Linked DNA regions of Mytilus edulis. Each later gene encodes a partner of the first gene's protein in a complex. Links are inferred from orthologs where the notes say so. Each region holds a gene or a part of one and is shown in the gene's direction. Other genes may lie near its edges.

What was found.
Region 2: nuclear pore complex protein Nup160-like (region 1) and nuclear pore complex protein Nup214-like share a complex: the UniProt entries of both Drosophila melanogaster proteins name them as parts of the nuclear pore complex. The link is inferred for Mytilus edulis from reciprocal best matches to the Drosophila melanogaster genes Nup160 and Nup214.
Region 3: nuclear pore complex protein Nup160-like (region 1) and nuclear pore complex protein Nup54-like share a complex: the UniProt entries of both Drosophila melanogaster proteins name them as parts of the nuclear pore complex. The link is inferred for Mytilus edulis from reciprocal best matches to the Drosophila melanogaster genes Nup160 and Nup54.
Region 4: nuclear pore complex protein Nup160-like (region 1) and nuclear pore complex protein Nup107-like share a complex: the UniProt entries of both Drosophila melanogaster proteins name them as parts of the nuclear pore complex. The link is inferred for Mytilus edulis from reciprocal best matches to the Drosophila melanogaster genes Nup160 and Nup107.

The regions. Positions count from the first base shown.
Region 1 is NC_092350.1:78,084,040-78,090,989, reverse strand, and holds the start of nuclear pore complex protein Nup160-like, read left to right. Parts: upstream 1-3,948; 5' UTR 3,949-4,051; coding exon 4,052-4,142; intron 4,143-6,950. UniProt on the Drosophila melanogaster protein: Functions as a component of the nuclear pore complex (NPC). Involved in poly(A)+ RNA transport. Required for nuclear import of Mad. May play a role in double strand break DNA repair. Essential for nephrocyte development.
Region 2 is NC_092345.1:2,075,617-2,083,028, forward strand, and holds the start of nuclear pore complex protein Nup214-like, read left to right. Parts: upstream 1-4,402; 5' UTR 4,403-4,490; coding exon 4,491-4,529; intron 4,530-5,197; coding exon 5,198-5,324; intron 5,325-6,558; coding exon 6,559-6,785; intron 6,786-7,412. Other genes in the region: serine/threonine-protein kinase Nek7-like, read right to left, coding at 754-942. UniProt on the Drosophila melanogaster protein: Part of the nuclear pore complex. Serves as a docking site in the receptor-mediated import of substrates across the nuclear pore complex including emb, RanGAP and phosphorylated Mad. Protects mbo/Nup88 from proteasomal degradation at the nuclear pore.
Region 3 is NC_092351.1:43,985,789-43,993,632, reverse strand, and holds the start of nuclear pore complex protein Nup54-like, read left to right. Parts: upstream 1-4,841; 5' UTR 4,842-4,918; coding exon 4,919-5,021; intron 5,022-7,844. Other genes in the region: uncharacterized protein, read right to left, coding at 1,318-1,336. UniProt on the Drosophila melanogaster protein: Component of the nuclear pore complex (NPC), a complex required for the trafficking across the nuclear envelope. Essential for the nuclear import of nuclear localization signal (NLS)-containing proteins in an importin alpha/importin beta-dependent manner.
Region 4 is NC_092347.1:43,234,022-43,241,294, reverse strand, and holds the start of nuclear pore complex protein Nup107-like, read left to right. Parts: upstream 1-4,268; 5' UTR 4,269-4,388; intron 4,389-7,273. Other genes in the region: protein BCCIP homolog, read right to left, coding at 3,958-4,083. UniProt on the Drosophila melanogaster protein: Plays a role in nuclear pore complex (NPC) assembly and maintenance. Required for nuclear import of Mad. Mediates the association between the nuclear pore complex and a subset of active chromatin regions adjacent to lamin-associated domains.

The DNA.
Region 1 (6,950 bases):
TTGCGTCATAATATGTACTTGGCAGATAGCATAGCCTAATGTAAACGCTGCAGAAACTCACAAAAGTACCATTTATTATTCCAAATGAAATTTTTATATCTTAAATTTTATCAACTGATGTAAATAAACACAGTTAAATGACCATGGCTGCACTTTTGATCAATTTGTAGCCCATGCAAATAAATTAGACATAAATAAAATACAGGATATAAACTATAAACAAGAAAAGAGTTCATTCTCAAAAAATATTAAAAAAGAACTAAAAGATAGCTTTGAAAATATTTTCTTTGAAAAATTAAAATTAACTAATGAAACCAGTAAAATATTCGTGTAGTCGTAAAATAAAAAGAAAATATGAAATAGACAAATACAAATACATTTCTAAAAATAGTTTTGAAAATAGAAAATTATTATGTAAAATGCGAGTAAGTGACCATTTCTTGGAAATAGAGAGGGGTAGATATAAAAGAATTCAAAGAGAAAATAGAATATGTAAACATTGTAATATAAATGCGGTTGAAGATGAAACCCACTTTTTCTTAAAATGTATACACGAAGATGCTCAAGTGATAACACCATACTATGCTGAATGAGTATGTGTAAATGCTAACAATGTAAGCATCAATAAAGATATATTCTTGGACTTCTTTATCATGTTCTGTATAACCATTTAGATTCTACCACCTTTATCTACACTCCGTCCGTATTGTGGTATTTGGCTGCATATTCCAATTTTTGTTTGTCATGCAATTTAAATGCGAGTAAGTGACCATTTCTTGGAAATAGAGAGGGGTAGATATAAAAGAATTCAAAGAGAAAATAGAATATGTAAACATTGTAATATAAATTAATAAATTAATAAATCTTTACGTAATCAGCTTGAAAAAGATATAAATAATATATGTCCAGAATTCTTTTAATTGTCTGGAACAGATAGATTACAATTAATTCTATCTTCATTTGATATTATGCAACTTACTGTTCCGTTCATTAAAAAGTCATTTGCACTGAGGGGAGTGGACACGACGCCTGCATAAATATTACTGTTTTACCACTTTATATATGATGTTTAATATGTTCATTTTTCCATTGTGTATATTGTATTGTATTGTTTGTATGTATGCCTTCAATCCCCAGGGGTATAAATGTGCATTTCATGAATAAATAAAATAAAAAAAATACAAAATACAAATATTTTTATTGGCACAAACTCATTAACAATAAATGGTTAAGACCTATGGCATTACATATATATGTCGTGTACAAGTTGCGATTTTGTACAGGTTATAACATGTACAAAAATATTGTACATGTTATAACTTGTATAATGCAAAAATACAAGTTATAACATGTACAAAAGTACCTCGTACATGTTATAACCTGTACAAAATATTGCTTAAAAATGGTTTTAACTTGTACAAAATCGAAAAATAAGGATATATTCTATTATCGCAACAGATGTTATTAACCTCAATAATATTTTCATAACGTTTTTATTATTCCTTCATGTTAGTGTGTTTTGTCCTTTTTTGATACAGTTAATGTCCAGTGGTCGGTATTACGAAGCATTCCTAAGACTTGTCATAAGATATATCTTAGGACATGTCTTATGATCCTCTTATGACTATCTATGGACATATCTTAGGACATGTCTTATGATCCTCTTATGACTATCTATGGACATATCTTAGGACATGTTATAACCTGTACAAAATCGCAACTTGTACACGACATATATACAACTATACTGAATAATTGACATGGTAGAATGAAAGGTTCCATGATAACATATCATGCTAAATTATGAAAAGTTACAAAATGATGTATCATATAAGTTCACTATTTCTTATATTTAGACACTCTGATATGAAAGAGGAAGACAGTCTAAGTAATAATGCTGAGCTATTATTGACCAAAAGAGATATTTTTTCATCAGCGGTAATGTTACGCTGTATTTGAAATATAACATTTATTTTATTTTCAAATATTTCTCGCTTTGAGGTATATCTATTACATTATCATAAGAAATGTTGTTCATCCTCAATTTCCCCATTTTTACAGACAGGACAGTGTCTTTCCTCTCTAGGAACATTTAAAAGATGTCTTCCCCTTTCAATCATTAAAGGATGTGCACTTATGCGTATTTTGCATATTGCTGCTCTATCATTTAAATTGTTTAGTGAATCAACATATGATGGTCTTTGACCCATTTTGTAGACTTGACGAAAGAAACTGAGCTTAGAAGACTCCTGTGTGTTTGCATTTTGATTTTGCAAGCACTGATCATAAATTCTCTGTTTTACTTGTCCCAAGTGCTGCTTTGTTAGACAACTTTTTTTCAACAAGATATGAATATCCTAATTTTTGTAAAATGCACTGAGTTTTTAGGATCCAGGGGTTTGAAAATCTTGTTGCACAGAAAATTTGATTTACAAGTGTATTTTCTGATGAAAGTATATGCTCTAGAAAATTTATGCTTGAAAAAACAATTTTATTTTTGAGTGGAATTCTACCAAGCTCAGCACGACAAGCATCATTTGAAGCCTTGCAATGAACACCAAGTGCTTCTTTAATAAATTTAATGTGTAATTTTTCAAAGGGATCAGAGCCATTAATGATGAGTTAACACCCCAAATTTCAGAACAGTACATCAGTATAGGTGAATACCGTGATATTAATGTATCGAACAATTTTTCAAGTAGTCTACATGGATTATTCAGACCCACAGTTTTCTTAATTTTGAAATAGGCCTTTCTTGCCTTTTCCATAAGAGTATTATTTATGGCTAAATTGAAATTACCATTACATTTTATTACAATACCTCAGGGAGCTACCATTTGATTTTTATGGGGGGGGGGGGGGGGGGCTAGGATCTGAGACTACTATAACAGTTAGTCTCAGCTAGGATGAAATTTGAAAAAAATAGGCAGGACAGGAGTTTTAAGTAAAAAAAAAAGGCAGGATGAGACAATTGCAAAAAAAAAAGTCAGGACAACAATTTAGGTAAAAAAAAGGTCAGGATAAACTAAAAAAAAAAAGGCAGGACCGAACTGAGTGAAAAATAAAAAGGCAGGACAGAGATTACAGCTAAAAAAAATGCAGGACAAAATTTTTCATCCTAGCCCCCCCCCCCCCCCTAAAAATCAAATGGTAGCTCCCTAAATAAGAATAATGACTTTAACAGTTTCAATACAAGAATCATTGTAAGTAAATTCGTCCAAAAATGTTTTACCATTTGAATTAAATACAATGACTTATCTGTAGTTTCTGTAGTTTCTGTAGTTTCCAACAATCACAATAATCATATAAAGCATTAAGACTATTTTGTAGTCCTTTTTTACTTTGAGACAATAAAACAATATCATCTGCATATAAAAGAAGAATATTTAAAGAAACATAAAGGGGGCCCGGGGGGGGGGGGGGGGTGCTGCTGACTAACCTAAGGGGGTCCCGCTCCAGTCATGCTTCAGTGAATCGTCCTATATAATCAGACCCCCGCCTATGGGTGTTAGTCCATTAACAATTTCATAGGTTAGAATTTATGTGTTGTTTATTTGACTTATCAATCAAAATAAAGTTTTCTTAATATCTGATCTTAAAGCTGAGAAATTGAAAATGTTATGTTGAATATTATATAGCTAGTGATTTTGAATCGGTGATCTGACACCTACATAGTAAGTAAGTAAGTAAGTATTTTATATTGGTTTGAAATCCAAAATTATGCCTAAGCCTAACTTCTAATGGCCTAACTCGCGGGAAATTGAGAAAGCGAAATTGAACTCATAAAGACATTCCCGTCCAGCAAACGCAAAGGTCAACGACTGTAGCCAACGTACACACCACGGGGAATACATTTATATTTTTTATTTTTTATATTTTCAAACTAAGTATATATAGACATATAGACTTATCGAAAACCCTATTCTTTACGAAGTGCTCCTGTGAAGGAGGGATTTCCTAATACAGATACAGAATCGCCCTATTGGGGCGAAATGAATCTTAGTGCGAACGACAATCGGGGCGAAGTCACCTGAATACGGATGATAAAAGAATGGCGGAAAGCATGAGTGGATGTACATACCGGGAAATTTCAATTTCATCTAGTGTGGGAACAAGATGGAAAGAAATAAACGTCAACACAGGTATGTAGTTGACGTATTGCAAACGGGATTGTCTTTTACACTAGTTGCCATTTCATGCATTTAGAACGGCTTCTTTTTATATCACCTGGCATAGATCTAACATTTATTTTCGCTTTACTTCTTCTACCGGTTACACTGGGGTAAAGCTGATGACCGTCCTTCTTCTTCTTTATATACAGAAAAACATCAACTGGTTGATGATTACTTTCCGGCGCATGCCTGGTTTAACAATATTGTTAATGATTAAAATATATATTTTTGGTTTCTTATAATTTTTCAATTTTTATGATACAAATGTATATGTAACTGTAAGTAATATTTTTCAATTTTTATTTTTAATTTTTGGTATAAGATAAAAACAAGATACATATTATACATGTAGGTGTTTGTAAGTGTCAAGGAGCATCTCTCTAGTGAGTTTCTCCTTGAAGCACTCAGTAGTGGTGCTGCAGGCTATTGGTTCTGGTAATTTGTTCCAGTCTTTTATAGTTTGGCAGAAAAATGAAAATTTGTAACTGTCTTTGCTGCATCGAATTTGTCGGTATGTTTGTTCGTGGCTAGACCTGGTGTTTGATTGGCTTTTAATTAATATGTCAGTATATGTGGTATGGCAATTTTGTTGTTTGTTATTCTATGGAACATATTTAATCTGCTTTTGAGTCTCCTTTCTTGTAATGTTGGCCAGTGGAGTGTGTTAATCATGTTTGTTACACTTTCAGTATATTTGTAGTTTGAGCATACATATCTCGCTGCACGTCTTTGAACTTTTTCTATGGAGTTAATGTTCTCTGTTGTGTAGGGGTCCCAGACAGTGCAGCAGTATTCAAGTTTTGGTCTAATAAGGGCTTGTATGCTCGGTCTTTGATGGTTACTGAGTTTATTTTAAGTTTCTTCTGGTGAATCCAAGGGTCTTATTTGCTTTAGATGTCATGTTCTGAATGTGTTTGTTCCATTTTAAATTTGATGAAATAGTTATACCTAAATATTTTGCATTTTCAACTGACTCAAGAATGTGACCGTGCATGTTGTAATAAAAATGGATAGGTGTTTTCTTTGTGGTCACTCTAAGTATGTTGCATTTATCAGGATGGAACTGCATTAGCCAGTCTTGTTCCCATTTGATTGCTCCTTCTAGGTCTTCCTGGAGTTTAGGCAATCTGATGGTGATTTTATCTGTCGGTAAATGATGCTATCGTCAGCAAAGAGCCTGATTTGACTATGATGTAAGTAGTCAGGTAAGTCATTGATATATATCAAAAATAGTATTGGACCTAATACAGTGCCCTGAGGAACACCTGATGTAACTGGTATGTTATCAGAGGAATGGTTTTCTAGCATAATTGTTTGTGTACGGTTTGAAAGGAAAGATTTTATCCAGTTTGCGGCTTGATCTGATACACCGAAAAATTTAAGTTTATATAGTAAACGGTTGTGTGGAACTTTGTCAAAGGCTTTTGCGAAATCCATGATGATAAGATCGGTTTGTATATTTTTGTCGTTATTTGAACATAGTTGGTGAATTAGTGATATTATTTGGGATTCGCATGATCTATTTGCCCTGAAGCCGTGTTGCAAGTCATAAAGTATGTTGTTGGATTCAAGGTGTTTCATAATGTTGCTTGCAATTATGTTGCTCTAGTAATTTGCATGAAATACATGTAAGTGAAATTGGACGATAGTTACCAGGATGATGTTTGTCTCCTTTTTTGAAACAGGTGTTACATTTGCGTGGTTCCAATCGTGAGGTACTTTTCCTGTTTGCATTGATTTTGTAAAAATTAGAGTGAGTATGTCTGTGCATGTGTTGATGTTTTCTTTAAGCACTTTTCAGTGATGTTATCAGGTCCTGTTGCCTTTTTTGGGTTTATATTTTTAATTAATTTATAGATGCCTTCTCTGTTGATGTCTATGTCGTCCATTATTGGATGTGTTGATGGACCTTTGTCAGGGATAACTGTATTGGTCTCAGATGTAAAAGCTGATTTAAATTGTTCATTTAATATGTTAGCTTTTTTCAAGGGATCTGTATGAAGTAGACCTTCACTCCTAAGAGGTGCAATACCAGTGTTTTCATTGTTTTGGCCTTTTATGTATGAAAAGAGTTTTTTAGGTTTGTTTGTTAAATCTCGAATTTTCAGGCTCTTGTATTTCAATGTCAAAAATCATGTTTTCGATATAATTCCAATAGGCATTTCTCATCTCTTTCTGTAATTGTGTTTTAATTTGTTTAAATTTTTTAGTATGTTTGCTATCATGTTTTTTCTTTTTATAAAATTTGTTTTTCTTATTTATCAGTTTTTTCAATTTTGAGTCTATCCATGGTAGGTGGGTTTTATTTCCTATTAGCTTAGTTGGTATATGCTTTTGGATACTTTCTGTTGTTTTTGTTTTAAAGAAATTCCACATATTGTCTATATCAAGTTCTAATTTGTGTTTTTCCATATGTGTGTATGTTTCTTTTAAGTCTTTTCCAATTTTTTCCCAGTCTGCTTTCTTGTAAATCAATACTTTGTGTGGTGACTGTTTGGCTTTCGAAAGGGAAAGATTTATTTCACTGAAGATAATGTCATGGTCACCTAGTGGTGGTAATGTTTCTACTCTGTTTAGTAGGGATGGATTTGACATGCACAGTAGATCAAGTGTGCGTTCATTTCTTGTTGGTTTGTCAACTACCTGTGTGAGATTGTGATCTTGTAATATATCTAAAAGGTGTTGATGAAGAGAAGGATCTGGTTTGCTAGGTATTACTGATGAATTTGACCAGTCAATATTGCCTAAATTGAAATCGCCACTGAGCATGATATTTGC
Region 2 (7,412 bases), on another chromosome or scaffold:
AACAGTTCAATCACATGTTTACTTCAACATTATCATATAAGTTGAAAACAAATTGTATTTAGGATTCTAAAATGTGTAGTTCATTGATGATACAATCGTCATATAGTATAACTAAAACTAAACATGCTCAAAGATGTATTATGTGTAACTTATTTTCAAATCATTCATTTATTAGTTTATCATCATGATCATGCAGTGTTAATTGAATTAATTTGAAAGGGATATAAACTGTCAGTCTTGATTAGATAAATGTCAGAAACCTGCTGGTTGTAGTTTGTTACTGTCTGTTATTTATGTTTTCCTGTAAATCATGTACATGTATATTGTTTGCCATGAATCTTAGATCTTGCCAATGGTTTCATATTTTGTCATGTTGAGGATTTTAACAAAGACCATACTGTATTATTCTGCTCACTATTGAAGGTTTGTACAGTAACCTATATTTGATTACATCCACACCTTTTGGACACAGGTGGATAGCTGTCTCATTGGCAATCATTCCACATTTTCTTATTTTCATGCTTTTCTCTCCACATCAATACAATTTTGGGCTGTTTGAGCTTTTTGGATGGGTTGTTGTCTCTTTGACATGTTTGACCAAAACCTAGTATTCATTTTCTATCCCAATCTACTAACAGTTTAATCACCAGTGGCTCTTTACATATAAAAATTGTATGACTGAATTGTACAAGTATTTTTTTTGAAAGATTTTTTGTGAAATGAGTGTCAGTTCTACATTTTATAAATATTTACCTGAACTTTCTTCAATGCTACAACACTGCCATCTATTTTATTAATAGCTCTATATACTTCAGAAAACTGTCCCTTTCCTATCTTTTTATCTATTTTAAAATTAGCAAGGCAGCCATATTTACTGTCCTGTTCATCAGTAGGGGAGGGGTTTCCTTCTAAGTCCATTGGCTCCATACCCCCGGCAGCCATATTGGTAGCCTTTAACCTAATGAGAAATGAACTAAATATTGTAACATACAATGTACAGTGACCTACATGTATAGTTATTAATGTCTGTGTCATTTTGGTCTCTTGTGGACAGTTGTCTCATTGGCATCATACCCTTTTTAAAAATGTATGTTTACATTAAATTGCCGTAATCAATATTTTTAGAAAGAATTACAAGTTCTTCTTTCGTCAAATTGCTGTCATCACTAATTTTCAGAAAGAATTTAACTTCATTCATCAAATTCAGTCCATTTACTTTTAATCAGCAAGCACCAAAAATTACTATTAAATTATCAAATTATTGCATTAACATGATTAATGTCATATCGCGCATTTGGCAAAATAATTTACTGTTATAAATTCGTCCCCCATTACAACCATAGAGGATACACTTATCACTATTTGTCGGCCATTACTGGGTATCACAAAAGTTCCCTTAAAATTCTGACATCATAAAAGAAAATATCTGACGCCACAATGGAAAAGTGATTGTAGTATGACGTCAAAATTCAAGTGGGCCAGATTCTTGGGTCAAACGCTGAAGCGGGAACAGCGATACGGTCTATACACCTTAATGCTAATACCAGCTGCGACGCATACAACAATCACTTTTCCATTGTGGCATCAGATAGTTTGTTTTATGAACCTGTGTAATATCCAGTAATCAACAGACATATATATATAGCGATAAGGTGTACCTATTGATAGAGCAGTTGATTATTACTCTTTCAATTGAACAAGAGATTGGTTGAGGGCATCCAGTACCAGTGTATTTTATGCTGGAAAGAACATTTTTTTTTATTATAATATACATGTATCTGTATAAATTTATCTGATTGGTTGTTGTTGTTTGATCTGGTACCAGGTAGGAAAATGTGGAAAAATTTCAACAGAGTATTCATAGATGAAGTACAATTAACTGCCGCATTCTATCGATAACAAAAGAATGGTTTACCTTGTTTACCTTCCGTTCTAGTTTTTTTTGTACCGAATAGTATAGGAATTTAATGGAAGTGTTTGGTGCGCATGAGTTAATTTTTCCTGACAACGTCATTCGGTTATCCTCTCGATTTTAGTTCAAAATAAACGAAAACATCGAAGAAATTAAATCAAAATCTTTTGTACGTTTTAGACAAATTGCGAAATAATGAGATATTAAAGATTAAATTTCAAATCAAATCAAATCAAATATGTTTATTGGATAATCAATATATATGTACAGTGCACAATTGATGTCTTCCACACAATGAACAGATATTAAAACAATTAATACAAAATAAATGCATATACATTAGAAATAATATCTGGACAGAGCTAATATAAGTTGTAAAACATTAATATAGTTCAAAAGCTTTTTCAATAAAAGTACAGATAGCTTTTGTATCAATTTTATTTAAAGGATACATAATGTTATGTAGAATAGTAGATTCCTTTTCCCTTTTATTTAAATCCGAGGGGTCGATATTTAATTTTTTGAAGAGATCTTGTCTTAAAATTGAAAACTTTTTACAGTATAAAATGAAGTGTTTTTCATCATCTAATAAATCACAAGTCTGACAAAGTCTTGAGTTATGCGGAATTTTTGGTCTATGATAACGACCTTTTTCTATTAAAAGAGAATGTGCACTAATTCTTAACTTAGTCAAATTTTTACATAGTGCTTTTGGAATATTAAAGTCAAGATATTTTTGAAGAGAAAAATTTGTGTAACAAAATGAAAAATATTTAAGCTTTGAGTCAGAATTGTAATTAGAATAATTTTGAAGCTGTTCTTTAATTAGTTGGATGGTTTGATCGTGTATTTTCAATTCTAGATTTTCATTTTCCAAATTCTTTACATCCAATTTAAATTTTTTGCAACTATAATCAATAAATGAATACCATGATTTTGACCCCTCTTTGAAAAGTCCTCTATCTACTTTATACACTTCAGCAAGAAATCTATCAGATGGAAGTTGTTGCAGTCTTATGAAATATTTAAAAGCCAATTTAGTAATAAAATTAATAATTGGTAATCTTCCTAATCACACCTGGAGGCTAAATTTGATGCCTTTTTATGTACTCCAAGTAGATATTTACAAAATTTATTATGTATTTTTTCAAATGGTATATTATCTTTATTTAAATCTTTTAAAGTAAAATCGGATATCCAAACTTCTGATCCATAGGTTGTAATAGGTCTAATTAGAGAATCAAATAACTTTAGCTTAAGCTTGGTACCAGAGTAATTATAATCTAGAATATTTGATTTAAGACTAAATACTGCTTTAAGAGCTTTATTATACATATGTTCTGCGGCATGCTTTAAATTGCCATTAAATGAAATCAGCATTCCAAGATATTTATATTTATCGACTGTTTCTATATTTTGACCATTAATTTTAAATTTGATGGCAGATTTTTTCTTGCCCTTACTAAAAATCATAACTTTAGTTTTAGTAATATTGACTTTCAACTTCCATCTGTTACAATATATTCCCAGGCTGTCCAGACAAGCTTGTAAACCCTTTTCACTCTCTGACAGTAGAATTAAATCATCTGCATATTGTAAACAATTAAATTGTGTTGTAATGAGTGACACAGGAAATGTTTTTGAAAAATCAAATATTTTTGGCAGATCATTAGTGTATATATTAAATAACAGAGGGCTAAGACCATCACCTTGTCTAACACCCCTATTGGCTCTATGAGCTTCTGAAATAAAGTTTTCTTTTTTTACCACAAACTTTGAATTAGAGTACATATGTTTAATTATCTTATAGAAATTTCCTCCAATTTTAAGATTTAATAGTTTTTTAAGTAATCCTGAGTGCCAAACAGAGTCAAAAGCTTTAGAGAGATCTACAAAACAAGCAAAAATAGGCTTTTTTAATTTGTGTAAATATTTATTTATCAAAGTTTTAATAGTGAAAATATGATCTGCAGTTCTATAATCTGGTCTGAATCCTGCTTGAAAGGGATTATAAAGATTATTTTCTTCCATATATTTATGCAGTCTTTTCTGTAATAATGAGGTGAAAAGCTTGCCAAGACAGCTGGTAAGGCTAATACATCTATAATTATCGCATATGTTTATGTCACCATTTTTGTGTAAGAAGGAAGTACAAGATAAATTCCAAGCATCTGGAAATTTTCCGCTTGATAAAATTCTGTTAAATAAATTAACAATAGGTAAAAGTAATAGGTCTTTTCCATATAAAAGGAATTCATTATATATAAGGTCTATTCCTGGTTGTTTATTCTTCTTAAGTTTTTTAATGCCATCTCTGACTTCTTTACAAATGAATGCATAATCTAAATGTTTATTATTAATATTTTCAATTTCTATCTTCGAGATATCTAAATCAGTATTATTTTCTTCATAAAGCTTTTTTAAGTAATTTGACATTTCAGATAGAGGTATAGGATTTTCTTCTCTATTTGTATTTTTCTTCAGATTATTAAAATTTAACATTGAACGAAATTTTGCAATATTTACAATTTGGGGCCAAATTTTGCAATATTTAAAAGCGAAAGTTTAGATTTAGATTATGGCAACAGCTGACGAACCTCCGGAAAGAGACGTGAAGGTATGTTGTGTTTGTAATGTGTAATAGTAGGCAGGTGTTACAATGTCGAAGAAATGACTATTTTGAAACTCATTTTTATAAAATTTTTGCAACAAAAAACAGTATAGACCTACTTTACATTGCATACCTGCCAACTTTTCAAAATGCCCATGGGTGTTTTACGTGCAAAATGGCTCTCCAAGTCCTACACAACCTGTAAAGGGGCCTTCAAATTTATTTTAATGATGTTTATTTGCTTCCTCATACTTGCATGCATACTGTATACAATCCTATACCAATGATTAATTGTTTGATTTGTTTTAAATTTTGGACAAAATTGCTCTTTCAAAATTTCAAATTGGAAGCCTCTAAAGGGGGAAACCCTCGCAAATAGTGACAGTTGGCAGGAATACAGTCTATGATTTTTGGAAACAAGACTTATATATGTTTTTAAGTTTAAACACACTTTCTTGTTCAAAATGACAAATGGGATAGACACAAGTTTTTCAACTAAGTATTGTCTTCTCCAATTATAGTTTATAGGTCAGGGAGCCAGTGCGGCCATGTAATAAAGTTATTTTAAGTTTTACTTCTATTTGATATTGAATCATATGTTGTTGTATTTATAAAGACTTCAGATAAATGGAAAACAGATCACATATTAATTGTCCATTAATTTGTTTAATCAGGATTTCAGATATCAGCAGCTATGCAGGTTTCAGATAGATGATGGCAATTCACCAGTAAGGGGGAAGAGTCCTCAGTTAGTTGCAGCTTCCTCAAAATATGGAGTAGTCTTTGTTGGTACAAGTAACGGTAAGTCATTTGGGGAAAAAAAGCAGTTCAGGGTTCAATGCCAGACATATTTTTAGAAGACCTGCCTGGTAGAAGAGGTAAATAAATAAATAAGCTTTATTTAGAGTCGGCAATGTATACAAACATAAACAACATAAGCTCTAATGAGCTTTTAACTGACATACAAGACATTTATAACAATACAACATTTAAAACAATACAACACATAATACACAAGCAATAAATTACGCAGCACAAAATGAAGGACTAAAAGCATAGTGGTAATAAGCAGAATATAAGCATGCTAAGCTAAGTATTAAAGCTAAAAGCATATAAGTGTAAACTATACATGATTAAAAAGCTGGTAAAAATGCATAGCATTAAATATTTAAAAAAAGATGTATGATCTAAACAATGGTAAATAATTTTCATGATTTTAGCATAATTTTAGGATAAAATCTGCACAAACTGTAAACTGTAAATGTAATGCATGAATATGATTAATAGTAATTGAACCAATGAAAGGCTAAAATCTCTATTGCATTGCAGTCTTATCTAATTTTTGTTGAGCCTTAGACTTTTGTCGAAAAAGCGAGACATAGCGATCCTACATTATGGCGTCTACGTCATTGTTGTTGTTGTCAGTAGCGTCCACAAATATTCACTAGATGACTGATGTGGTTAAAGTTTTTAAAATTTAAATAACTTTCTTAAACTCTCCTGAATTTGTACCAAATTTGGACAGAAGCTTGTGTATAATCATGATCATATGATAGTATCCAGAAATAAATTTTGTAAAAAAAAATGCCATTTTTTCCCGTATTTTACTAATAAATGGACAATAATGGACTTAGTTTTTCTGCCAGGAAACATTACATGTACATTCACTCTGTGGTTTAAGTTTTTAAAATTTTAATAACTTTCTTAAACTATCTGGGATTTGTACCAAATTTGGACAGAAGCTTGTTTATGATAAAATGCTAGTATCTAGTAGGAAATGTTGTTAAAATTTTGTTCCTGTTTCAGTATTTTACCTGTAAATGGACTTAGTTTTTCTTCCAGTTAACATTACATCCAGTCTGCAGTTAAAGTTTTTAAAATATTTATTAGATTCATAAACTACACTGAATTTTAACTAAACTTGGACAGAAGCTTCTTACAATCAAAAGATAGTCATGATAGTATCGAGAAAGATATTTTGATTAATTTTTTCCTCATTTTTGGTGAGCCTATGTTCTATTCATCATATTTGTAGGATTTAAAGTGATACAGACATCTGAACTGAGTAGAATTGATAGAGAACATGCTAAAGACAGAACAAAAATAATTGTGAAAGAATATCCTTGCCAGGCGTCAATAGAGTTATCTGCCCCTCCATCATTGTTGGCACTTAGTTGTGACAGTCTTAGCTTGGCTGTGGTTGTAGAAAGTGCAGATTTGTCACAAGTCTACATATATGATACTAGAAGTTTTGTCAGTCAGGTAAATTATATAGACATAAAGTCTTTATTCATAGGTTTGATTAAAGAGAATTTCTCCAGAGAGAGCCAGTATCTGTTTTTTTTTCCATGGAGCTGATGTATTCTTGCATTGTTAACCCTTAGTATCCTTTAAAAGTGTTTTTCTAGGTACAAACTCATAGATTTGATTTTTTTCTAATAAACATGATAAATACTACACAATGCACTAGTTTCTTTTTCTGTGTATTTCAAGCAATTAAACATAATTTCAAATAACAAGAGTTGTGATCAGAAGCTGCATACCACCAACATTTTAAAAAGGACTGGCAAAATTTTTGAATTTATGGTATTTTGCAACAGAAATAACAATAAGTACCACCAGATTTTCTCCAATGACATACATCAAAAAATGTTTTAATAACTCTTAAATAATATTGATGAGTATTAAACATGGTTAGTTGGAGTGGTATTTAGCTCAGAATTTGGTGGTTAGTGGAATAATAAATTTTTAAAAAAATGTTTGAAGATATCTATTTGTTATGTTGCAATATTTTAAATGAATTTATACTGCACTCGTTCTATTTGAGCAGTCAAAATGCGTTGACTGTATATTTCTATGCCATATACAGTCACTGACCTGATATTACTT
Region 3 (7,844 bases), on another chromosome or scaffold:
TTTCAATTTAATTCAGTTTATGTTAAGTCTAGAGGGGGGGATAGGACATTTATCGGGACTCCGGGATCTGGTGTTTTTAAGCTCGGGATTTCGGGATTTACTCCTTCGGGATCCGGGAATTCTTTTTTTTAAATTTCGGGATCCGGGATTTAACTTTATTTAAATTCGAGACCTCGGGATTTCGTGTTTTTAAGCCCGGGATTTCGGGATCAGGACCCCTCCTACCCCCCTCAGTCTAGTAATTCAGTTTCCTCGTTGTGTTTTGTAGATCACACAGGGTGAGTTTTGAATGATGATATTTGTTTGCAGGCATTACAGGATGTATGCATTAGGGTCTGTATGAATGTGTGATCTTTAATTTCTTTATTCTTTAATCATTTCCCTCTCTATTCTTTATTTATTTTGCCATTATTCTTTATATTTGAGCACCCTTTTATTCTCTATTCTTTACTCTTTTCGCTCATCTCTATATTTCAAAGATGTTAATTATACACTTTTTCCCTATTATTCTCCTTTGTGTAAACCTCATCCAAACCCTTATGCACAACTATCGCTGGAACCAAGGAGTCGACATAATGCAACTGTTGTGCTGCACGTCCCTTTTAATTTGGTTTTCGGTTTTTTTTCTTTTACAAATTTACTGCTATAACTAAGAGATTTCCATGATATTGACACTTGCAATCAGAATACTGGGTCATTAAGTATCATAGCAGTTTTTAGTAAACATATATAAATAAGTAAGAAAAAAAGAAATGAAAGAAAGGGAATTATAGCTAAAATTAAGAATGGAAATGGGATCGAATGCGGCAAAGAGATAACAACCCGACCAAAGCGCAAAAAACAAGCGAATGCAACCAATGGGTCTTCAACACAGCTAGAAAATGCTGCGACCGGAGAAGGGCTTCAGCTGGTCCCCAAACAAAATGTGTACAAAGTATTAACTAGTCAAGAGAAAGGGTTGAGTTATTCGACGTGCATTTGTGCTCCAAGATGTGTCTTTTTTTATTGACCTGTTCAACAGCTGTTACGTTGATATGTATAATTCGTTTAAGTGTGCGCTTTAAATCGAGTATTTCAATGCAACGCGTAGAATTATAGGAAGCCAATAGACTTTCAACATCTTACTGTAAATAAATACATGTGTACATGTATTTATAAAATATGAAAAGGATTCAAAAGTATAGTCGATACAAATATAAGAACATGATTGTGGCTCCTATATCATTTAAAGATTATGTATGCACCTTTCCCCTTACTCTATTTTCAAAACGAATATTTCATACATCAGTGAAATGAATTGAAATGAAGATTTCTTACCTGCATGTTTATTGCACATCCATTAGATAAACATAATATGGTTTTTACAACGTCCGCATACGGGAAGTATATATTTGAGTTTCGACCGATTGTGACACATTTAACTTTATGACCAGATGACAGGTAACAACTTTGGGGAAGTATTTTTTATCATTTAAATTTTATAGTTTACTTAGTATTCCGACTACCAAACAAAATGCACTAAGTCTTGAGGTTTTAATTTCAAAAGTGTCCTTTGTTGATTTTTTCAGTTATTAGACCGTAAATACGATATAAAAGAAAGGATGTTATGGGGTTTTTAGGTGGGAAATTATCGTATATCGTACGAGCTTCTTTAAAAAAAAAGTGCAATAATGTTAAATCAAATGCTGTCATGATATCATAGTTTTATTCTTTATTTTCAGCGATTCGTAGACAGAATTAAAGGAAGGAAACATGGAAACAATTAAAAACTTCCTTTTTCAAACATTATATTATTTATAGAATACTATATATTTGTATTTAAATAGATGTAGCGGCTCACTTGTACGCCTGTAGAAATAAACATGAAAATCGCTGATACCACAGGAGAGACCCATATACTACTGTTATAAACCGGTGTCACTTACAGGCGGGTTACCAACAAATGCGTCTAAAGTAAATACGTTGTACAATGAATAATGTACAATGAAATTAGATATACATTACACAATTTCAGCGTTAGAAATTAATACCTCCTAAAGCAAGTCATCTGCCATAAAAGACATAACAGCATTTTATAAGATAACTCAATATTTGAAGTTCACACCAATCTAATTTTACACGCGAATCACAGTGAGCTAAATTTTCTAAAATCGAAATTTTAGCCATGCAGATTTAGTATCGAAAGTTTGAAAGATAATATGAAAAGTAGATGCGGTATGATGAATGAGACACTACGCAGAAATTAAGAACTATCATAGGTCACCGTACGGCCACCAACAATAGAGCTTATAAATATTTCAAGAGTGTGATAATAATAATAATAATAATAATAAATTCTGTATTTAAAGAGGGTAACTTAATTAGAACTAGTCTAATTTTCATTGTGGCCCTCACACAAAAATAAAAATCACTGTTTATAAAATCGGAGTCAAATGAAAATTCTTTACACGTCTTGTCGTCAATAAGTTTGTTTACTGTATGTTATTGAGTTGCAGACTAAGGTGACCACCATACAACGCTTTCCCCTACAATAAAAACAAACTAATTTGTTGGTATGAAAGGCTTTGTCGTTTTTGTCTCGCTCTGCTCATCTCAATTTTTTAAGATTTAATTTCTTAGTTTCAACATGGTCATTAAGGAAAATATAAAGAAAAGAAAAATGGTGAATGGATACGGAGAATGTGTCGAAGCGACAAAAACCCGACCAAAGAGCAGAAAACAGCCGAAAGCCACCAAAGGGTCTTCAACACAGCGAGAAAATCCCACAGCCGGAGTCGTTCTTCAGCTTGCCTCTAAACAAAAATGTGTACTAGTTTAGTGAAAATTGACGTCATACTTAACTCCAAAAAATATAAATGAACTAAAATTATAAAAAAAAATCTAACAAGACTAACAAAGTCAAGAGACTCCTGACTCACGACGGGCAAACAACGGCGAGGTTAAACATGTTTAATGAAATCTCAACCCGGGCTCCCCTTATACCTCTAGCCAACGTAGAAAAAAACACAGTAATTCGCAAAGAACTCAATTTATGAAAGTCCGATTCTGATGGCAGATTAGGTAACAAAAGAAACAAACCAAAAAACAATGGTTTATGAATCATAAATCAACAAAAGACTACTAGCAGTTACTGACATGTCAGCTCCAGACCTCAATTAAACTGATTGAAAGATTATGTATGTCTTTATCATATGAAAATCAAGCACAATCCTTCGATCCCGTTAGAGGTTTAGTATCATAACGTCATACAATATATGAGAAAATGTATCCCGTATCATGTCAACAATTGGTTTTAGAATGAATGTGTATATTTCCGACGCAAGGACCCTTTGAGTGAATCAATATTAAAACCAAACTATGCCATCTTTAATGACCTGGCAATAGTATCGTAACTATATCCCTCCTGAATCAGTCTATTGAAAGGTTTAGTTAGCTTTTGCCATTTTGGGGTTGATGTCAACATTGTTGTGCTTTATAGAGAATATTACAATAAGAAATTTGATGTAAAATACCTGAACACATAAGATATCTGCATGTTGATTTATCATTTACGAATTATGTCCTTACATGTGTACCAATGATAACATTTAGTAAATCTTTTGACTAGTTTGTGATATCGAAAACCCTTGTGTAATAATTTTTCATTAATACAGTGATTTCTTTCATTAAACATGTTAAAATCAAATACGTTGTTTTAAACACCGATCCCCCCTATATATATAGGGGAGAGGGGGAATCTGAGACAAGTGCCTGTGGTTCATTGTTAGTATTAACTTAATTTAAAGTCAACTCAGTTAGATGTGTCTTAATAAAATTGTCATTATTGAGATCAAATATATTTAGTATGACGTCCATTTTCACCGAACTAGGCTAGTACACATTTTAATTGAAGGGCTAGCTGAGACTCACCGCATTATTTTTTTTTTATCAAATAAATATTGTTGGGGCCGGTGTTGAAATTCTAATATCTTTCAAGGGAGGCTTTAGGTACATTTTTTTTCATGTTTACAACATGTACAAGTGGGAAATAAGAAAAAAAGAGAAGTTCTTATGTTCACTCTACCCAATCAAAAAAAAGTAGGCCTAATTACTAGTCTGTAAGTACGAATCCGAGATTTTGATACCCCACTTTCGATTTTCATATACAATTCAACAAGTCAAAGGTGTAGACAAAAGTTTAAGAAATCTGTGACATAGCCCATTTGTCATAACTTGAACTTAAGATATATATAACAGGGTTTTAAATTGATTTTAGAATTCAATATGAACAATATATAATTTGAATTAACAAACTATTTTAAAAATTAATAATTGATAGTCATATTTATTATTAAAATACCAATAAAGTATAGTCATTTATAATTTAATCAGTGTGTTAATATATATGAATTATTATTTTTACCTGAGATTACCTGTAAAATGAATGCGCGCAAATGTAATCAAAAGCTGCGCGCAAACATAAAATATTTTAATCCCCAAATGCGCGCAAACGTAGTGCGCCCCTTCAGAACCAATTGTGTCTATACTAGTATATAACATGGGAACAGTATATATCTATTAATAATATATGTTCCTGTTCGTGTCTCTTTTAGTTCATTAGTTTGTAAACTAATCATTTAAGTATTTGATTTTAATACAGCAAGGCTATAATTATGAAAACTTGAAAGTACCAATAATTTTCTTAAGAACAAAGAGACGTTGAGCAATCACTTTCGATTGATAAAGTCGCTAAATTATATCTTCCAGTCGAAAATTGTCGCTAAATTATTCTTCTTGTCACTTCTTGTCGCTGAAATCCTTCTTGTCGCTAATTAGTGTAACCGAAGTAATCTGTTTAGGGGAGATAACTATTTTGCTCTCCAGTCAGGAGGAAAGAAACGCGGGAATGGAAATTTAGAAATTTAGGAATAGAAAAAGTATGGCATTTTTTGGAGGAGCAGCGACGACTCCTTTTGGAACAACAGCTACTACATCTACTTCAACAGGATTTGGAGGATTCGGCACACAAACTCAAAGCACAGGTATCATTATATTAATTATGGATTATCAGATAAAACTGCGTAAATTATTTTAGTCTGAAATTATTTGTGTCACAGGCCACTTGTTTCTATCTATGGGAAGACCCACTATCAACGTATATTTACGTAAATTTGGTACTTTCAAAGAGTCGTATCAAAAAAGAGGTGCACCATAATATGATTTTTTTCCTGTAAAGTTGTAAAGTCAATAATTTAAACTCGTATTTTGAGTTTTATATGAATTAATCAGTATTTTTCTCAAAATCATTAAAAATTAAAATTGCATTCAAGTCTCAAATGACAGAATCCTAATAATAAATGCACACAATAATTTCTGAATTTACAGTAAATTTAATCAATACTTTCACTTTACTTTCTCTTTCAATTGCTATTTATAACGTACATATAGCAGGGGTTCAAATTAGCGGTGGACCTTCCACTATTGCAATCAGACTTTCGTTATTGTTACAAGCTACGCTCAACAGACCTTCGATTTGAAAGAATATAAAAATTAACTTTGCCGACCTTTTTAACCAAAATTTCCAGACAATCTCAAAATTTATTTTTATCTTTATAAATTATGACAGCGATGTTCATTTTGTTCAACCGCTAGTTTTATACCGAAAATCGCCAACAAGTAATGTGTAAATCCGAGTAAAATCGTATTTGACTGACATAAACAACATTGAAAATCAATGCATGCCATAAACCGGAAGTGAAGACAATTACAATACCGGATCAGATTCCGGTGACGGATAAGTGTAACTCCGAATTTGCCGATCAAATACATTAAAAAAATAATAATTCCAGGCAGGTGACAAAATACATCTTTTATGATGAAATATAAATACTAGAATTGAAAACCAAAAGATATATTGAAAAGAAAGTGAAAGAAGGAAAATATTTTTATACAGAAACTCAAAATTACTTTTAGTTCACAAATTTTCGTGTCAAAATCCAATAAAATGTGACAGTAATTTTCTTCATCATTACTAAATGTTGATATTACATGTAGATGTTTTTATAGTGTGAACATATTACTACAATTCCAAGAGGTAATTTCTTTTCAATTTTGAAGGCCAGTAAAATCTCAGGAAGTTTTTTACTTTATTTTCACAGATGACTATAATAGTGCAACTAGATGTGACACACTTAAACAGCTTTGAATTTGAACTTTAATTGTATTCTCGGGTATGAATTGAACAATATAAAAAGGAGATGCATATGGTCCTTTATATTATAGTGAAAACTACAAGACAACACACCCACCAACAGTGACACCCTCCCCAATACAAAAAAAAAAGGATTATGTGAATTCATATACAAGACAATTACATTTATTATTAAACATGTTATACAACAGTGACACTAACAATTAAACAAGCTAACCCAACACCAAAAGCACATTAATTTTGTATCTTACTGAGTTATGAAATATTTCAAGTGAAAGTAGGACCTGTAATTTAGGTTGTGGACCTTTCAGTTTGGAGTGTCAAAGGTCCTGGACCTTCTAGTACCAAATGTTAATTTGAACCCCTGCGTAGTCCAAATAATTATGACGTCTTGCAAGGCTATTTTAATTTTTTTCTGGGATGCCTTCCTACAACATCATAGGACAGTCAGGGGACTTACTGTAAAAATCACTTATTTGAGTAGCAAATTCGAGGTCTTGTCACAAATTGGGATTTTGTAGTTTTTTTTAAATTTTAAACATATAGGTTTAAATAGCATCTTTCAATTAGTAAAAATTAAAAAATATGAACTTTTTGCTTCTGTTAAGTAGCAAGGTTTATGCCTTTGATGCTATCATTCTGAAAATTCTATTTTAGTTGAAAAAATGCTATAATAATGGCTTTACATAATGAACTGATACTTTCTTAAAAGATTTTTCACAGCAGTGGGAGTATTTTTCCTGTGAAGTTCAAGGTTTCATCTTTCAGATTATGTAATAAAATTCTACTGTTCGCTGTTCGCGATAAAAATTTCACTGTTCGGGGGTGTTGAAATTAGTGGGGGTTATTAAAAGAATGATACTTAAAGAAGTGATTTTTGGGAAGGAAATTGAGGTCTGATACTTAAACAAGTGATTTTTATGTCATTATCCTAGATTCAGTACAAGGTCATCACCTGAAATGACCTGGTCATCCTAGACAACACAGATGACTGATGTTGGTTCTGATAAATTTAGAAACATAATTTAAGGCCCTGGATCATTAGTATTCTATATTTAAAGCTACACTAATATTAAATCACTTCTTCTAGTGATTAATTTGTACTACTTAAATAGGTGATTATTAGAGAAAGACAACTCTAACTTCGAACCTTTATGGAAATAATGTTACTTGAATCAGTGATTTAGAAAATCACTTGTTTAAGTAAGTCCCCTGACTGTAGGACAACCCAGAAAAAATTAAAATAGCCTTGCCAGACGTCATAATTATTTGGACTTTTTATAACGTTACTTTGACTCATCATCATGACCTAGTCCAAATAATTATGACATTTTAAAGGCTATTAAATGTTTTTTCTTTGACGCCTTACATCGACAATTATTTGTCACATGACTTTATAGCAAATCATTTCACATTTACGAAGTGTTCTTCATAACTATATGTTCAGGTTTAACAAAAAATCGTTTTAATGAAATTTTATACATTTTGTCATTGCAAAATGATGTACATTTGTATTTTAAAAGATTTCTCAGATCGTTTTTTAAATATTGATCTTTGAACTTTGAGGTATTTGTTCATTGAATTTTCAGTAGCCACCGTCTTGTTTGATATGGAAACCATTTTACACAACTGGGATGTTCTTTAACATGTTTAA
Region 4 (7,273 bases), on another chromosome or scaffold:
GATCGCTTAGTCTCGCTTTTTCGACTAAAGTCAAAGGCTCGACAAAAAGTGCAATTGAAGATTTCTTGCTATTGCGCAATACTGTGCAATTGAAAATTTCTTGCTATTGCACAATACTGTGCAATTGAAGATTTCTTGCTATTGCTGAATACTGTGCAATTGAAAATTTCTTGCTATTGCACAATACTTAATATACATGATATAATAATTTTGGATCCTGATTTGGACCAACTTGAAAACTGGGCCCATAATCAAAAATCTAAGTACATGTTTAGATTCAGCATATCAAAGAAGCCCAAGAATTCAATTTTTGTTAAAATCAAACTTAGTTTAATTTTGGACCCTTTGGACTTTAATGTAGACCATTTGAAAACGGGACCAAAAATTAAGAATCTACATACACAGTTAGATTTGGCATATCAAAGAACCCCAATTATTCAATTTTTGAAGAAATCAAACAAAAGTTTAATTTAGGACCCCAAAAACAAAGAATAATGCTTATTTGGGCCCTTTTTTGGCCCCTAATTCCTAAACAGTTGGAACCAAAACTCCCAAAATCAATCCCAACCTTCCTTTTGTGGTCATAAACCTTGTGTCAAAATTTCATAGATTTCTATTTACTTAAACTAAAGTTATAGTGTGAAAACAAAGAAAATGCTTATTTGGGTCCTTTTTGGCCCCTAATTCCTAAACTGTTGGGACCAAAACTTCCAAAATCAATCCCAACCTTCCTGTTGTGGTCATAAACCTTTTGTTTAAATTTCATAGATTTCTATATACTTAAAACTAAAGTTATAGTGCGAAAACCAAAAGTCTTAGGACTATGACGACGACGACACCAACTAGATACAAATTTACGACCAAATTTTTTTTTAGTTTTTGCAGTCGTATAAAAATATTTATTTTGACCCCTTTTGGGCCCCTTGTTACTAAACTATTAAAACCAAAAACCCCAAAATCAATCCCAACCTTCCTTTAGTGGTAATAAAGCTTATGTTAAAATTTTATTGATTTCTATTTACTTTTACTAAAGTTATTATCCGGAAACCATCCGTCTTCGGTCGACAACAACGTGATACCAATATATGACCACAATTTTATAATATTTGCGATCGTATACAAATAATTAAACACTAGAGAAGTATTTCTCATTTCTGTGATAGAGACCCTTTGTGGAACTCTTCTGAACTTTTCGGGGTTGATTTGTCAACATTAAATTGTTCCACCTTACATATGTTACAGAAGTTCAGGAAACTTTGTTAAAACAATGACATAACATTTTACCTGTTACTTTTTCTTTGAGTACATTTCATGAATAAAGTATTACTGTACATTCATTATTATTCATTGGTTACCAATTTTCGTGGATTTCCTGGGTATTGGTGAACCACACAATTAAATATTCAACGGATGACAAGTTTTCTAAAAGCTTGTATGAAGACTCTGTCAAAACCCTGAGCTTAAATGTTTACAAACATGCGTTTTTCTTCATCCACGAAAATTGTTATCTATGAAAATAAATGTATCTAGAGTATACCATCTATATGACATAATTTTTAGACAATTCAAATTCTTGCACACTAGAATTTAGAAAAGTATCCTTTATTCGATGTCAGGCAGGGAAGGGGATGGGTTATTTGCATTAATTGCAGCATGGCTGATGCAGTGTTATAATGTCTGAAGTTGATGCAGGAAGTAACGGCCAAACTGCCATGACGTCCCTAGGACGAAACGGACATACCCCGAAAATATGAAACGGCCATACCCCGAAAAGATGAAACGGCCATAGTACAAAAACGGCCATACTATGTAAAGACGTATCGTCCATGTTTTAATTTTTTTTTTAAATGTGATGTTATATATGAAATATTTTCAAATTGATACTTATAGATGGTTATTATAACTTTTTAATAAACTATACTGTTTTTACATTATTTATCATGTTTAATTTTGTTATATCATTTGTTTACGCATTATGTATATCATATAGGAATGTGTTTAATCTAATAACATATTAAAATATCATATTGTTTTCCAAATGATTTTATGATATCTTGCGTATAACTAACAGAACAAAATGCACAAATATGATTCGAATGACTTTATCCGAATGGGAGACTTATTTCTGTCAAAATTATCAGTCAGAGCTCAGACATAAACAAGTCGATTTTTGTTTTTGACTTAAAGAAGTCAAAACATGTATTTATTATAAAAATGTGTTTTCAATTTTAGACTTATCTAAGTCAGAAAATGACAGACTTGTTTAGGTCTATTTATGTTGATAAAAAAAACTTAATTGTACAAATGTACTTAGTGGCCAAAGTACACCACCTATGGCAGCAAAAACCTGTCTGAGAGTTCACAAGGACTTGAGCTATCTATATTCAATTATCTAATTGAACATCCTTACTAAACACAGATGTTTTACCTCATTAAGTGTGGTTCCAGGTGGTTGCATTGTAAGATTAATTAACATTATTTTCGATTTTTTAGACTCTCATTCATATTTTTCTTTAGAAGACAAAGCATTGCCTTTCAATGTTGTCATTATTTGATTTAGATGCATGACCTTTTCATAAATATGCGTGGGACTTGGAAGTTAACCAATTTTGAGAACTTATCGACTTGTAGGAGTCAATATTTGCAACTTTTTGATCCTGGTCAATTATTTCTTGCTTAACAATATTTAACTTATTAAAGTCGTATTTTGTCTTGCATTAAAGGGAAACATATCTCAAAACTACAACTTTAGACCTCTATGAGTCAAAAGCAGATTGAGACTTATTTATGTCTGAGCTCTGACTGACTATAACTATAAGAAATGTCAGCCATGTAGTTTAGAGGAATAATAAACAACTGAAGAAGGTCAATGGCCGAAACGTCTTGAACAATTGGTTTATTTATACAATTATAAAAGGTATGTTCCCTATTGGAATTTTGAAAACAAGGATATAACTATAAGATTCAGTAGTTATGAAATGTAAAACAAAGTAATCAAGTAATGATTAAGTTTTGAATTTAAGAAGATAGTTAATTGCTTATTATTACTTCTTTGATGAACACAAGCATTAATTATGCTTTTGTAAAGAAATTTTGTTAAGAGAGCCGTGGTGTAGTGGTTAGTGCATCGGACTACTAACACAAAGGTTCCTGGTTCGATTCCAATCTGGGATGAAAATTTTGACACCATTTGCGAGTATGGTCTTGAGGAAACGATGATAGTCCGTCGGACGGGGACCATAAATAAGAGAGAGCCATATCTCTTGCACGTTAAAGACACCCTTGTAGATTTCGAAAAAGAGCAGGCTAATGCCGCTACAAGGCAGCACTCGCACCCGCAAAGTGGAAAGGGATTAACATAAGTTGCAAAACTTGTTTCCCAATCCACTATAAATAAATATGCTTAAACTAAACTAAAGAAATTCAAAAAGAAATACTGTTCAAGATCTCTATAAAAACACAGCACCCAAGCTGAGTTCAAGCGGAGTGCAAACATACATTGATTGGGTAGTGAAATGCTGTTCGAGCAGTCTAAAAAGTAACACAGGCTTTGCAATATTTTATCATTATATTCTATGTTTATATAACCTCAATAATTTTGTGTGGCCGATGTGGCGGTATGGCCGACAAATCCTATGGCCGTTATGGAAGTATGGCCGACCCGTCTCGAAAGCTCTGAAGTACATGTCACCATACTATATCAAGTTACTAATTAATTTTTTTTTCAAATGTACTCAATTTAATTATTGATAATTTATATAAAAAAAAAAAGAAAAAAAAACTGTTATAAATAATCCAGAAGTCAACATTATTAAAACAGTTGCGGATACGAGTAGCCTAATGAGAATTAAAAAAGAGCAAACAAAAACGTGGGTAAAGGGGGGTAACTCTTTTTCAAGAGAACGTCCTTTCAGTATGTTCATATTGTTTATTTGGTTGACAGGGTTATTTTCTTACTTCATTAACTTCACCATCACTACTGTCATCATCATCCATGTCACTTGACCCTTCTTCATCATCGGCGACATCGTCGGCCTGCATTTTTTCTTCAAGTTGCACAACACGTTTCTTCTTCGAAGCCATTTTATAAAGTCTTTAAGAATCTTGTGCAAAACGAAACTAATTAAATCGTTAAAATTATTGATAAAATCTTTTATTATTTGTTGAATTTCACTAGATTTATGGAGTTAAAGAAGAATTCTACAATATTTAAAAAAATCAATTCAATCTTTTATGTTAAAATTTAAAAGTAAAGTTCATTCGTTTTCATTGAAAAGTTTAAAAAGTGATTACCTCCCTTGATTTTATGGCAGCGCGAATGAAAAATAGATTTTTTTCCCTGAGAAATATAGTATGCGATCACATTAAGCACAGAAGCTGTCATAGAAGTATATATGAGATCTAGCTGTATATTGTTTTCTATTTTAACTGTACACAAAGTACATCATGCATGTAAAAAAAATTCTTACACAAAATACAAAATCCGAAATTATAAAAGAGGGATATGGTGTCACGGAATAGAAGTTCCTTCATAATATAAGTTCCAAAAGGAAAAAATATTGTGGAAAATAATTTCCACAGGAATAAATATTACAGTATATGTTCCTAACAGAATAAATGGTATATAATATTTCTTCCAACAGGAATAGATATTATGACAATGTTTATAACAAAGTTTCCATTGGAACTTCTGTTAGGCGGAACAAATATACGTTGACAATGGGGCATAGCCATAGGGGAATATCGTGTGGGGCATATGTGAGCCAAAATTTGTCCCTGTAAAAAAGATCTAGTTGAACTAATATCATAGGAAATATGATCAGGGATATGATTTCTATATAAATTCGTTACATATATATATAAATATAGGAAGACTTGTTATGAGTGCCAATGCGACAACTCTCCATCCAAGTAACCATTTATAAAATTAAACCATTTAAGGTCAAGGTACAGGCCTTCAACACAGAGCTTTGGCTCACACCGAACAGCAAGGTATAAAGGGCCCCCTAAATTACTAGTGTAAAACCATTCAAACAGGAAAACCAAAGGTCTAATCTATAAAAAAAAATGAGAAACAATTATGAACCACATAAACAGACAACAACGACTGAACATCAGATTCCTGACTTACTAAAGGGGCAAACAATTGCAGCGGTATTAAACGTTTTAATGGTACCAAACCGTCTCAATCTCTATATCCTACCCTAGTCTATAATCGGTCATCTTGTTGGTTCATTCAGACTTTTATATTGTATTTATCACACAGGAAAACTGCATTGACGTCACTACGCTTATACCAGCGTTATAAACAAGTGCAGAATATGTTTTTTCTACTCTTCCAAATTAAAACAAACATTTCTAAATATATGTTGTCGGTGTTATTCTAAAGTATTGTACAAAAATGCCAATTTTCTAAAGGCTGTTTCAAACCTGACTTCCAAATGCTTAAAAACAATTCAGAACTTCAGAAAATCCCACTTCTTGCCTCCATTGCTTTGTGTACAATCGGTCCTTGATTTTAGTCATTGTTGTTAGTCATGTTAGTGGCAGACAAAACAGGCCAAGCAAATATTATGAATAGTATTTTTAAGAATTTGAAAATGACAAGCACTTTATATTACGTCTTACACGATTTTCTCCCCCCCCCTTGAAAAAAACCATCAAAATGAAAGAAAAACATGAGGAAAAAACAATTTTCATGTCATAATTTTGTTCAAGAATATAGAGAAGGTTATAAAAAACAATAAACATATAAACATCGTCCACACTTCGGACAATAACTCAAAAACACTTTCACCAATTTCCATGAAACTTAAGTGAATTGTTTATATCTATTGACGTAAGCTCCCTTTCAATTTTTATAAATTTCAGATTTTAAGTTTTGGATTTATGGGGCTTTATTCATAAAAAAGGGGGGATTTTAAACACTTCGGACAATAACTCAAAAAGGCTTTCACCAATGTCCATGAAACTTTGGTGAATTGTTTATATCTATTGATGTAAGCTCCCTTTCAATTTTTATACATTTCAGATTTTAAGTTTTGGATTTATGGGGCTTTATTCATAAAAAAAGGGGGATTTTCAACACTTCGGACAATAACTCAAAAAGGCTTTCACCAATGTCCATGAAACTTTAGTGAATTGTTTATATCTATTTATGTAAGCTCCCTTTCAATTTTTATAAATTTCAGTTTTAAAGTTTTGGATTTATGGGGCTTTATTCATAAAAAAAAGGGGGATTTTCAACACTTCGGACAATAACTCAAAAAGGCTTTCACCAATGTCCATGAAACTTTGGTGAATTGTTTATATCTATTGATGTAAGCTCCCTTTCAATTTTTATAAATTTCAGATTTTAAGTTTTGGATTTATGGGGCTTTATTCATAAAAAAGGGGGGATTTTCAACACTTCGGACAATAACTCAAAAAGGCTTTCACCAATGTCCATGAAACTTTGGTGAATTGTTTATATCTATTGATGTAAGCTCCCTTTCAATTTTTATAAATTTCAGATTTTAAGTTTTGGATTTATGGGGCTTTATTCATAAAAAAAGGGGTATTTTCAACACTTCGGGCAATAACTCAAAAAGGCTTTCACCAATGTCCATGAAACCTGAGTGAATTGTTTATATCTATTGATGTAAGCTCCCTTTCAATTTTTATAAATTTCAGATTTTAAGTTTTGGATTTATGGGGCTTTATTCATAAAAAAAGGGGGATTTTCAACACTTCGGACAATAACTCAAAAAGGCTTTCACCAATGTCCATGAAACTTTGGTGAATTGTTTATATCTATTGATGTAAGCTCCCTTTCAATTTTTATAAATTTCAGATTTTACATTTCCGTGTTATGAATTTTTATGCTTAAAAAAGGGGGGATTTTCCAATTTTGGGACAATAACAAACACTTTCACAAAATTTTATGCAACTTTGATAAATTGTTTATATCTATTGATGTAAGCTCCCTTTCAATTTTTATAAATTTCAGATTTTACATTTCCGTGTTATGAATTTTTATGCTTAAAAAAGGGGGGATTTTCCAATTTTGGGACAATAACAAACACTTTCACAAAATTTTATGCAACTTTGATAAATTGTTTATATCTATTGACATAAGCTCCCTTTCCATTTTTATAAATTTTATATTTTACGTTTTCTTAAGTAATGAATTTTTATACTAAAAAAAGGGGGATTTTATGAAACTTTGGTGAATATATTAATGTAACATCCCTTTTGATTTGTATATATATTTCTAGTTGATCATATAAATTCA